2 linked regions of the Drosophila melanogaster genome follow. The protein of the gene in region 2 interacts with the protein of the main gene of each other region in a pairwise test. Each region holds a gene or a part of one and is shown on either strand. Other genes may lie near its edges.

What was found.
Region 1: the proteins of CG32756 (region 2) and CG4218 interact in a two-hybrid assay, tested with the Drosophila melanogaster proteins (one large-scale study listed by BioGRID).

What each region holds. Positions count from the first base shown.
Region 1 is NT_033779.5:14,546,870-14,551,093, forward strand, and holds CG4218 (uncharacterized protein), read right to left. Parts: upstream 2,241-4,224; 5' UTR 2,085-2,240; coding exon 1,782-2,084; intron 1,717-1,781; coding exon of another isoform or gene 1,696-1,716; exon of another isoform or gene 1,546-1,695; intron 1,386-1,545; coding exon 998-1,385; intron 944-997; coding exon of another isoform or gene 927-943; coding exon 772-926; 3' UTR 629-771; downstream 1-628.
Region 2 is NC_004354.4:5,943,833-5,948,928, reverse strand, and holds CG32756 (uncharacterized protein), read right to left. Parts: upstream 3,248-5,096; 5' UTR 3,169-3,247; coding exon 3,010-3,168; intron 2,949-3,009; coding exon 2,763-2,948; intron 2,697-2,762; coding exon 2,558-2,696; intron 2,471-2,557; coding exon 2,236-2,470; intron 2,175-2,235; coding exon 1,514-2,174; 3' UTR 681-1,513; coding exon of another isoform or gene 617-680; 3' UTR 576-616; downstream 1-575. Other genes in the region: CG6041 (uncharacterized protein), read right to left, coding at 617-680; CG12728 (uncharacterized protein), read right to left, coding at 4,542-5,096.

The sequences.
Region 1 (4,224 bases), on a different chromosome or scaffold from region 2:
TAAATGTTTACTTCTCGCTATGCGTGTGTGTTGCGTGTTGTGTGGGGCCGAGTATTTTGTCTGCGTTGCTTTTAGTGTTTCTACACCCTCCTCAACCAATGTATCACTCCTTCAGTACACTGCAAAAATATAAAGCATGTGAAATTAATGTTTTAAATTATAATGCTAACCACTCTAGCTTTATATATTAATTTTACGAATTTCTTATTGATACCTAATAACCATAAGTATAACATCTAAAGTTACTTTACCAAAGTTAGCAATACAATGTGTAGAGTGACTGTAGTGACAGCTTATGTTCTGTTCTAATATGCAGTTTAAGTTATTTTTTTGAACAGTGCATCATCCGCTCTGTGTCACGACAGGGCAAGATTTATTTTCGGTATTCCATGGGCGACTAAAATGCGCTGTCAGCGCAGCAGTTGCTGCCATACGTCGCCGTCGCCCGGCTATGGTCATGCCTTGGGCTTGGGCCATATAGATACATTAGCTGATGGTGGTCCGGATCCGGACCAAGGGGACCCACAGAGCGATCGTTCCCCCTCATTGCACTTGACACTCGAAATTGATGCGCCACTGCGCCCAAGCCGGGCCACATTAATTAGGCAAAATATTGACACGCTGACGTGTGGTGTTGCCTATTGATTAACGCGTCTTTTCAATGGGATCGGTTTTATTGGATTATTTTTAGTGGGATTTTGGGGGGATTGGTTTGGCTTAGTTTGGATCTTCACTTGTGGTTTTTTGTGTGTGGTTGGCTATTGAAAAGGCCTAGTAGATGGGCTTCCTCTTCGGTGGCAGGTGGCTGGGAATCCTCATGTTGTTGGCGTTGTGAGCTGGAATTTTCTTTGTCTTCCTGCTGCCGCCGTGGAAAGGACGAAGAACGCGTATGATCAACTGCATAAATGCTCCCCAGCGCGCATGACCTAGGGTTTAGATGAGGCTTTGGATTAACCTACATGGGACTGCTCTTTTCGTGGTCTTTTGATGCCCTTACCATAGTCCTGGAAATTGCATTTCCCCTTTGCCATCTTGGTGCTGAAAACCTCTGCCTTCTTATCCACTATCTCCGAACTAGTAACCATATTCGAGAGCAGCGATTTAGATTTCTTAACCCGCGGTGTTTCAGCTACCTCAGGACTATGTTCTGGTACCACATTGCATACCTCAACGATACCAGAGTTGGTCTTCAATGGAGGACGATCCTCCGATTTCATGCCATTTGCGCTGGCGAACCGAGCACAACTCTCCGTGGACTTCTTGAGCAGAAACCAGGATTGCTGGAGAACATGACCTTCTTCGATGAGTTTCTCGTAGCCATTGAGAATGCGGCGCACATCCACGTTGATCAGTTCCTCGGGAACCTCGGGAAGATCGCCAAACTCCTGAAATCAATACAAAAAGTAAATACATAAAATAGTTGCAAAGAATATTTCAAAATTTTGTTGAGCTGCACTTTTTAGTTGCAATTGTATCAATCGACTGTCATATGAACACAACCTTTAAAGCCCTTAATCGCTTTCAGCATTCCAATAAAACATTTTTGGGTTATATACAATTTATTTAAATATTAAGTATTTCACGCTGAAAGACAATCCAGGTCTGAATCCAAAAATGTTCGTCAGTATAAATCCAATATATCCTCATATAAAAGGTTTGCAATTTTTCAAATGACAAAAGTAACACTTAAATGAACTACTTGTCAATTAAATTTTGCTATGAACGTAGTAGTTTAGGGTAATAAGATTAAGCAATAATTATTGATGGTAATGCAAACCCACCTGCGAGTTCTTCCGCAGATCTTCAAAGCGCTGAATTAGCTTCTTGATATTAAGACTGCTCTTGGAACCCTTGGTGATCCCGGCACCCACACCCGCTGTAGTATTGGTTGTCACATTTTCATCGATCGAATCGGTTGGTAATGTCTCGGATTCCGACCCATCCATACTGGAGGAGCTCATCCTGCTGAGTATCTTGGCCGTTTGCTCCATGAAGGACGCCTGGCGATCGCGTAGCTCCTGCAGTCGCATCTTCAGCTCGTCGAGGTATGCCAGCTGGCGGGGTGTGGGCTGCCTGGTTGCCATTGTCAATTTTGCTATCCCACTTTTAGATTCTTTCGAACATGTGAATGGATCCGAAAATGCTTAAGTTTTCGGTTTTTTTTTTTGGGCTATGGATACTTGTGTTGGGCTTGTCAGACCAATTGTCTCTAAATAAGAGTTTCAGTGCTTAATACTATGACTGCAAAGAGACTGACTACTCGGTTACCGGTTTTATGACAACGCCACCATAGTTTGTAACTAAGTATGCTGTGCATTGGAACCCAAGGAAGTAAGCTATAACCATTCGAATTATTTCTTAAGAGCAAAGACCCTTTTAGCGATGTAACTATTCTATCATATACGTAATTTGATGTAAAGTGGATTAGGGTATTTTTAGAGTATCGCTTGGTCGTATTTCATAAGTTTGGCTCGCTCTTTGGACATGGCCTATTACTCGCTATTTTTATGGGCCCCAAATTGAGATATCTCCTGCAATTCTGGCTGAGCTAACTAAGTTGTAACTGCCCGCTGCCTCACGAAACCGATCCCTCCCCCAACTTTCATTCGCCTGTGGTTGAACAATGGAGCGATGTGGCAAGGACAGTGGGTGCGGAGGGGCAACTCCTGATACACCTATATATCTCTGGTTTAGCGTCTTGGCTGGACTCACCTTTGCGATGCTGCGGGTGGTTGGGGCTAGTTTGGAATTTCACGGAGGAAAACGTGCCGCTGCCATCGGCTGACGCCTACAATGAAGAAAAGGGGGCGTGTCGGCCACTCTGTGACTCCCAGACTGCTGTTGATTTCCCCCGGAGGTGGATACCAACCCCTCCAGCATCCTCCTCCCATGCCAGAGAGTGTGCAATTGTTGTTTTCATATTTTAATGCCTTTTTGAGTTGGTAGGCGTGCCACGACACGATTCTTCTTACCGATAAGCTGTTATTTTTATGGGCCCCCGCCGAATCGGATCGACTTGAAGTGGAGTCGGTGGTGCAGGGTATTGCCGGGTGGAGCCGGGTGGTGCTCCGTGGTGTGCGGTGTGGGCTGGCTGCCGACTTAAAGAAGTTAAAATTATTACACCGCAATTGTCTTGATCGTTGATTTATGTGCGCTTTTGTTGTCGGCTCTCCTGGCTCGCGGCTATGGTTTTTCGCTTTTTATTACTTTTTTGAAGTTGCCAGTTGGCCAACAGGCAAATTTGTGTGGCTGTTGATATTTATTGGGCATGGTCCGGGCATTGGCATCAATTGTGTATGCAACATGGGAAGTTGATTATGCCTCTCATTAGCCACCGTATTTTTTCCTTGTGCACGAAATGGCGACAATTCCATTCCCATGGACATGAAAGTGGCCCATTTGCAGTTTACTAGCACATCGGGTTTGGATAGTAGGTAATTTATTTTGCTAGCATGTCTTTTCGATTACTAATAGTTATTAAAATTACTAAAATAGTTAAGTTAAAATAATAGATTTATTAAAGATCATATTGATCTTGACATTTTTCTTATTTGCGTGGAAGCTAAAAACAGAATTTTCAATGGGATAGCCTTCCATTTCATTTCGAATTAGTCAATGGCTCTTTTCGGCAACTTTAGGCATTCCCTAATTGAGTTCTTGATTCGGCGACTCCACTTCCTCCTCAGCGTTTTTCGGTGAATGTCTGGCCGGTGTCATAATCTCATCGCCTCCTCCGGACCAAGCCCAACCCAATGCGATCCGATCCGAGTCCCATTGTGCGACTCCAGCACGATTAAAGCCAACCGCATTTGCAGCCGCCTTCAATTGCCTGAAAACTTAATGATTTCATCTTTCATTGAATTCAAATTTGTTTCCCCATCGGGCCCCCACGATGTCCGAGTGCGATTTGCAGCTGTGCAGGGAGCACGACGTTCGATGTTGGGGCACCGGCAAAATGTGCTCGATGTTTGGGGCTGCCGAATGTGGGCGTGCCCCCATCATACGCCCCTGGAGTTATTGTCGTTGCTGTTCTGCACTGTTGATAGCCAACGCCGCGGACTCGGTTGGCCGAGCCTCGAAAAATAACGAATTTATTATTTATTTCACCTGACAGCCCCAGCAACAGACTCTATAAATTTCCCTAGCCAATCCACTCCGGACCGGAATCATATTTATGGTCCCATCTGTATCTTTCTGGCGATGCGCATATGAAAACGAAATTAT
Region 2 (5,096 bases):
AACAAAAAAGTACTTTAAAAGTTTATGGTGAGCGGTTCATAACGCTTCGGCGGTATGGAAAAACAAGACAATCTAATCGAACGTAAAGTGATTGCCACTCCTTTTGAAATTGGATAATTCCGAAAATTAGTCAGTGTCATAGAAAAAAATGTTCTTTTGTTCTACAATAATGGCGATGGAAATATCCAGTAAATCGAAAAAGGTAATTACCATAACCATATACCAATTTGGCATATTTATAATGCTGTTTTGAACATTTTGAAACTTAATTTTTTTTTAAATCCGAAAGCAGTTGAATTTGACCACTTATTGATTGTTTCTTTTACACATTGGAATATGATATGTTTCTTTTATCTTGGGTAATAACCAAACACTTTTGCAAACCATTTATCACAACAAAAAGCAAAACAAAAATGTGAGCAAATTGATAACTTCTGTGTGTGAAGTGTTGGGGTTTACCCAACTTGAATAGTTTTAGGCTTCGATTTTCACATAACTTTTAACGAAACGACCATAATTCGTTTACTGGTTCGTTCTGTTGAGGTAAATACAATCTATACTTTCGTATCACTATTCGGCTGTAATTTGGATTGATTGCGATCAAACTGTGACTCACTTTCGCCGGAGGCCAGTGCTCCTAGAAATAGCGCTATGGCCAGTATGGCCCAGACTTTAGCCATCTCTCTTGAGTAACTTGGCAGTATGGGATTTCGAAATGATACAGGTGACTGACTATCGACCGAATTTCTTGAATAGAGCCACCGCAATGAGCCATCCCGACACATGGCCAGTTGATATTATTTGTGGTTTGCCTTTAGCTTATCTTATCGCCAAATGTGCGTAAATTGAATGTTGCCAAAGCCCCAAAGCTCCACATTGACAACAGCTCGATGGCTCGAATCGGCTGCCATAAAAGTAAACAAATGGCAAATCAAAGCAAAATTCGTTTTTGATTTCAATGGCACCAAAGGGAATGGATTTGGTAACGCCAGAACACCACAGTAACTGGTTGATTGGCTGGGATTAGACAAACTTTAAAGGTTATTTATTCTAATTGTAAATGGGGTGTCTTGTTTTGTTTTATTCAATTTTATTAGTAATTACGCCAAAAAAATATTTAACAAAAAACATTTAGCATAAAATGCATTGATCAGGAGGCTATAACCGTTGGAAAGCCGTGACTAATCGGACGCATTTTAATATCAGTCGATATGTTCCATAGAGATAGGAGTTAGTTGCTGCTTGTATGCAGTAGAATTCAACTTGTTTGTGTACTGAGGGTGTTTTGGTAAGATGTCGTTTTAAAATCTACAACACTATACATTGTTTTGTTTCATTTGATTGCTGTTCGATGGACTTAGGTACGAATACCTAATCAACAAATGGAATCATGTCTTTTATCCTTGTATCACTGAGGATTTGTTTTTATCTCAAAAAAAAAAAAAAAAAAAAACGTATGTACTAAGGCTAAGGTTTTGCTTGTAGCACCATTTAGACTGAGATCGTTTCCAAATTATTTTTTCTCTAGATTATTGATCGCTTCTGCGACGCGACCAGTTGAGTAAATCAGTGCGGCTTTGATCTCTTCCAGCTCAATTTGATGAATTACATCCAAATTCCCCTCGGATATTCCGACTTCGGGTTCTTGAGTGAATGCCGGGGGGTAATCGTAAAAATCATTAATAGAATCCAAAGCGTTCGATGCCTCCCTAGTGACCTCCTCATCATCAGAAGAAGAATTCTCATCATTAAAAGAAGCATCCTCATATTTAGAGGCATCATCATCTTTAGAAGAAGCATCCTCATCTTTAGAAGAAGCATCCTCATATTTAGAAGAAGTATACGCATCTTTAGAAGAAGCATCCTCATCTTCAGAAGAAGCATACTGTTCCTGAGATGCAAGTTCATATACACCATTTCCGACGGTTGGATTAAATTTGGTTAGTTGTCGGCCAGACCATCCTTGGGAAAGCCCCGAAGATGTGGATGACTCTTCGTCATCATCAGTGAGATCATTCTTGGTGTCCATTGGCGCTAGCTCTACTTTTAAGATTACATTTACGTTTGTCTCTTGGGAACTCTGCGAGCTTTTGTACTCGACAAGCGGATTGGAGCGGCGCTGCATTACCTTGCGCTCCATATGATTGGTATTGATTTCAAGAGCCTTGCGCTTCCTGCAATTGCGAAAACATATCTTATTAATCGGTAAATGTGAACACATTGTACCAATCCCACCTAATGCGAGGAGCTTCTTTTGGGCTTGATGCCTTCGAAGAAGCAAAGTAGCCGTTTGACGAAGAATAGGGCGCGACATCCCGTGCCCATGGCGAAGAAAGCGATGTCCAATTAGGCGATGGCTTATCAGCAAAAAAAGTACTCTGCGCCTTCTGGTAGGCAGCGGAACAGTCCAGCAATTGCTTGTGCTCATTCATAAAAGCCTCGAGATCAAAGGGCTGGGTTTCCACGGTCACTAAAGAAGGCATAAGGTTTTGCGATTACTAACTAAGCGAATGGAATGCACAAGAACTTTCGATTTGCAAACTTGTTCTTAACTAACCTCTGCGCAGCTGGCATCCCTCGGTGCGATACTGGTTCAGCTCCTTGTCCTTGGCATGGATAATCCCTAGCAGAAGGGGTATCTGAGCCCGTAGTCCCAAAGCCGTGGACATTGTGTTCAAGAACATTTGGCTATACAACTTTGGGAATAATGGCACTAATTATTATAGTTCTTGGAACTGATTCTGCTAAAGTCAGTTACTGACCTGTGCGGCATCCATGGGTCTCAGGTGCCATTCCCACTTGAGGAAAACTTTGAAATTCGCCATGGCATACTTCAGTTTCAGGACGTTCAATGGGTGCTGGTAATCCTGTTCGACATGCAATGGATCCTTGTTGAGCAGGACCTGGCGCACCAATTCCTCGGGAAACTTCACACGCGCGTTGAGCGTCTGGTCGAAAAAACGTGTTGCACTCACACTATTTCACCACATGAAAATGCGGAAAACTTACTTTCAAACGCTGCTGGTAATCGCGTTTCATCAAAGTCTCGGAGTAAGTCCACTTCTCGCGAGGACGGAAAACGTGAATAGTTAGGGTTTCATCATGCTGCCCCTCAGTGCAGGCGAACAGGTGCTGCAAGCCATTTATATTCACTACTTTCAATAGCATTTTGAAGTTACGTTTAGAAGGATCAGAAATCAAAGGAAAGAAACATCACTGACGCACGCCGTAGAGATGAAAAAGAATCGATAGTACCGTCTAGGTATCGAATTCTTACCAATCTATCGATTGTTCTTTGGCGGTAACGATGGTGATGTATAAAGATTCCCAACAAAAATGGGATGTAACTCTATACCTATTTGAACTAACCATTAGAAGTATAAATCAAATATACTTTATAACAGCATTATATTATATATTATAATGTTATTATATTATTATAATATGAAACAAGTAGTACCTAAACCTTTATGTGTTCACGCCACATCAACAGAGTCTGAGCGTAGGCTGGACGTATAATAGGTAACCGCAGGGCTTTCCTTAAAACGATCAATGCTGAAATACTTTTTCTGCAGGGAAATGCATGGATAGAATGCCTGTGCGTATTTCAATTAACTAATCCACGCGGTTGTATTTATAGACATGTATTTATATTATATTATATATTATAAGATCCTAAATGTGTAGATCAGTTATAGTTGTGACCCACCGATGGGAACAACACATTATTGTGGGAATTCAGGGTTCAGGAAAGCATTACTCAGGATCCAAAACTAGCCTCGTCTAGCTGTCTTTCATCCTTCTGTTGTAATCCTAGATCAGCCTGAAAAGGCTGAAAGCTTCTAAAGCAAATGGGATAAGGCAAACTTTAAAGATTATTTATTCAAACTGCAAACGTTTCTTTTTTTATCAATTTTATTAGTAATCGTGCCAAAAAATATTTAACATAAAATGCATTGATCAGGAGGTTATAACCGCTGGAAAGCCCTGACTAATCGGTCGATAATTGACCAGAAAATTTCCGGGCAATCATTTTGACAAATTTTAATATTATTCGATATGTTCCATAGAGATAGGAGTTAGTTGCTGCTTCTATGCAATGGAACTCAACTTGTTTGTGTACTGAGGGTGTTTTGGTAAGACGTTTTAAAATCTACAACACTATACATTGTTTTGTTTCATTTGATTGCTGTTCGATGGACTTAGGTACGAATACCTAATCAACAAATGGAATCATGTCTTTATCCTTTTATCACTGAGGATTTGTGTTTGTCAACTTGTTTGTGTACGTGTACTGAGGGTGTTTGATAAGACGTCTTTTTAATATCTACAACACTATACAGTTCTTTGTTTCATTTGATTGCTGTTCGATGGACTTAGGTACGAATACCTAATCAACAAATGGAATCATGTATTTTATCCTTTTATCACTAAGGACTTGTTTTTATCTAAAAAAAAAAAAAAAAAACAAAAAAAAAAAACGTATGTACTAAGTGTGAAGTTTTGCTTGTAGCACCATTTAGAATGAGATCGTTTCCAAATTATTTTTGCGCTAACTTATTGATATAGCTCTGGATCGCTTTTTCGATGCGTTCAGTTGAGTAAATCAGTACGGCTTTGATATCTTCCAGCACAGTTCGAAGAATTAAATCCCAATTCTGATCGGACTTTCCGACTTTGGGTTCTTGGATGAGTTCCCTTGGGGCATCGTAAAACTCTTTTAAAGATTCAACCTTCTTTATGACGAAATTGAAAGCGTTCGATGCCTCCCTAGTGACCTCTTCATATTCAGAAGAAGCATCCTCATCTTTAGAAGAAGTATCCTCATCTTTAGACGGAGCATCCTCATCTTTAGAAGAAGTATTCTCATCTTTGGAAGAAGCATCCTCATCTTTAGAAGAAGCATCCTCATATTTAGAAGAAGTATCCCCATTTTTAGAAGAAGCATCCTCATCTTCAGAAGAAGCATACTGTTCCTGAGATGCAAGTTCATATACACCACTTCCGACGGTTGGATTAAATTTGGTTAGTTTGGCCGACCATCCTTGGGAAAGCCCCGAAGATGTGGATGACTCTTCGTCATCATCAGTGAGATC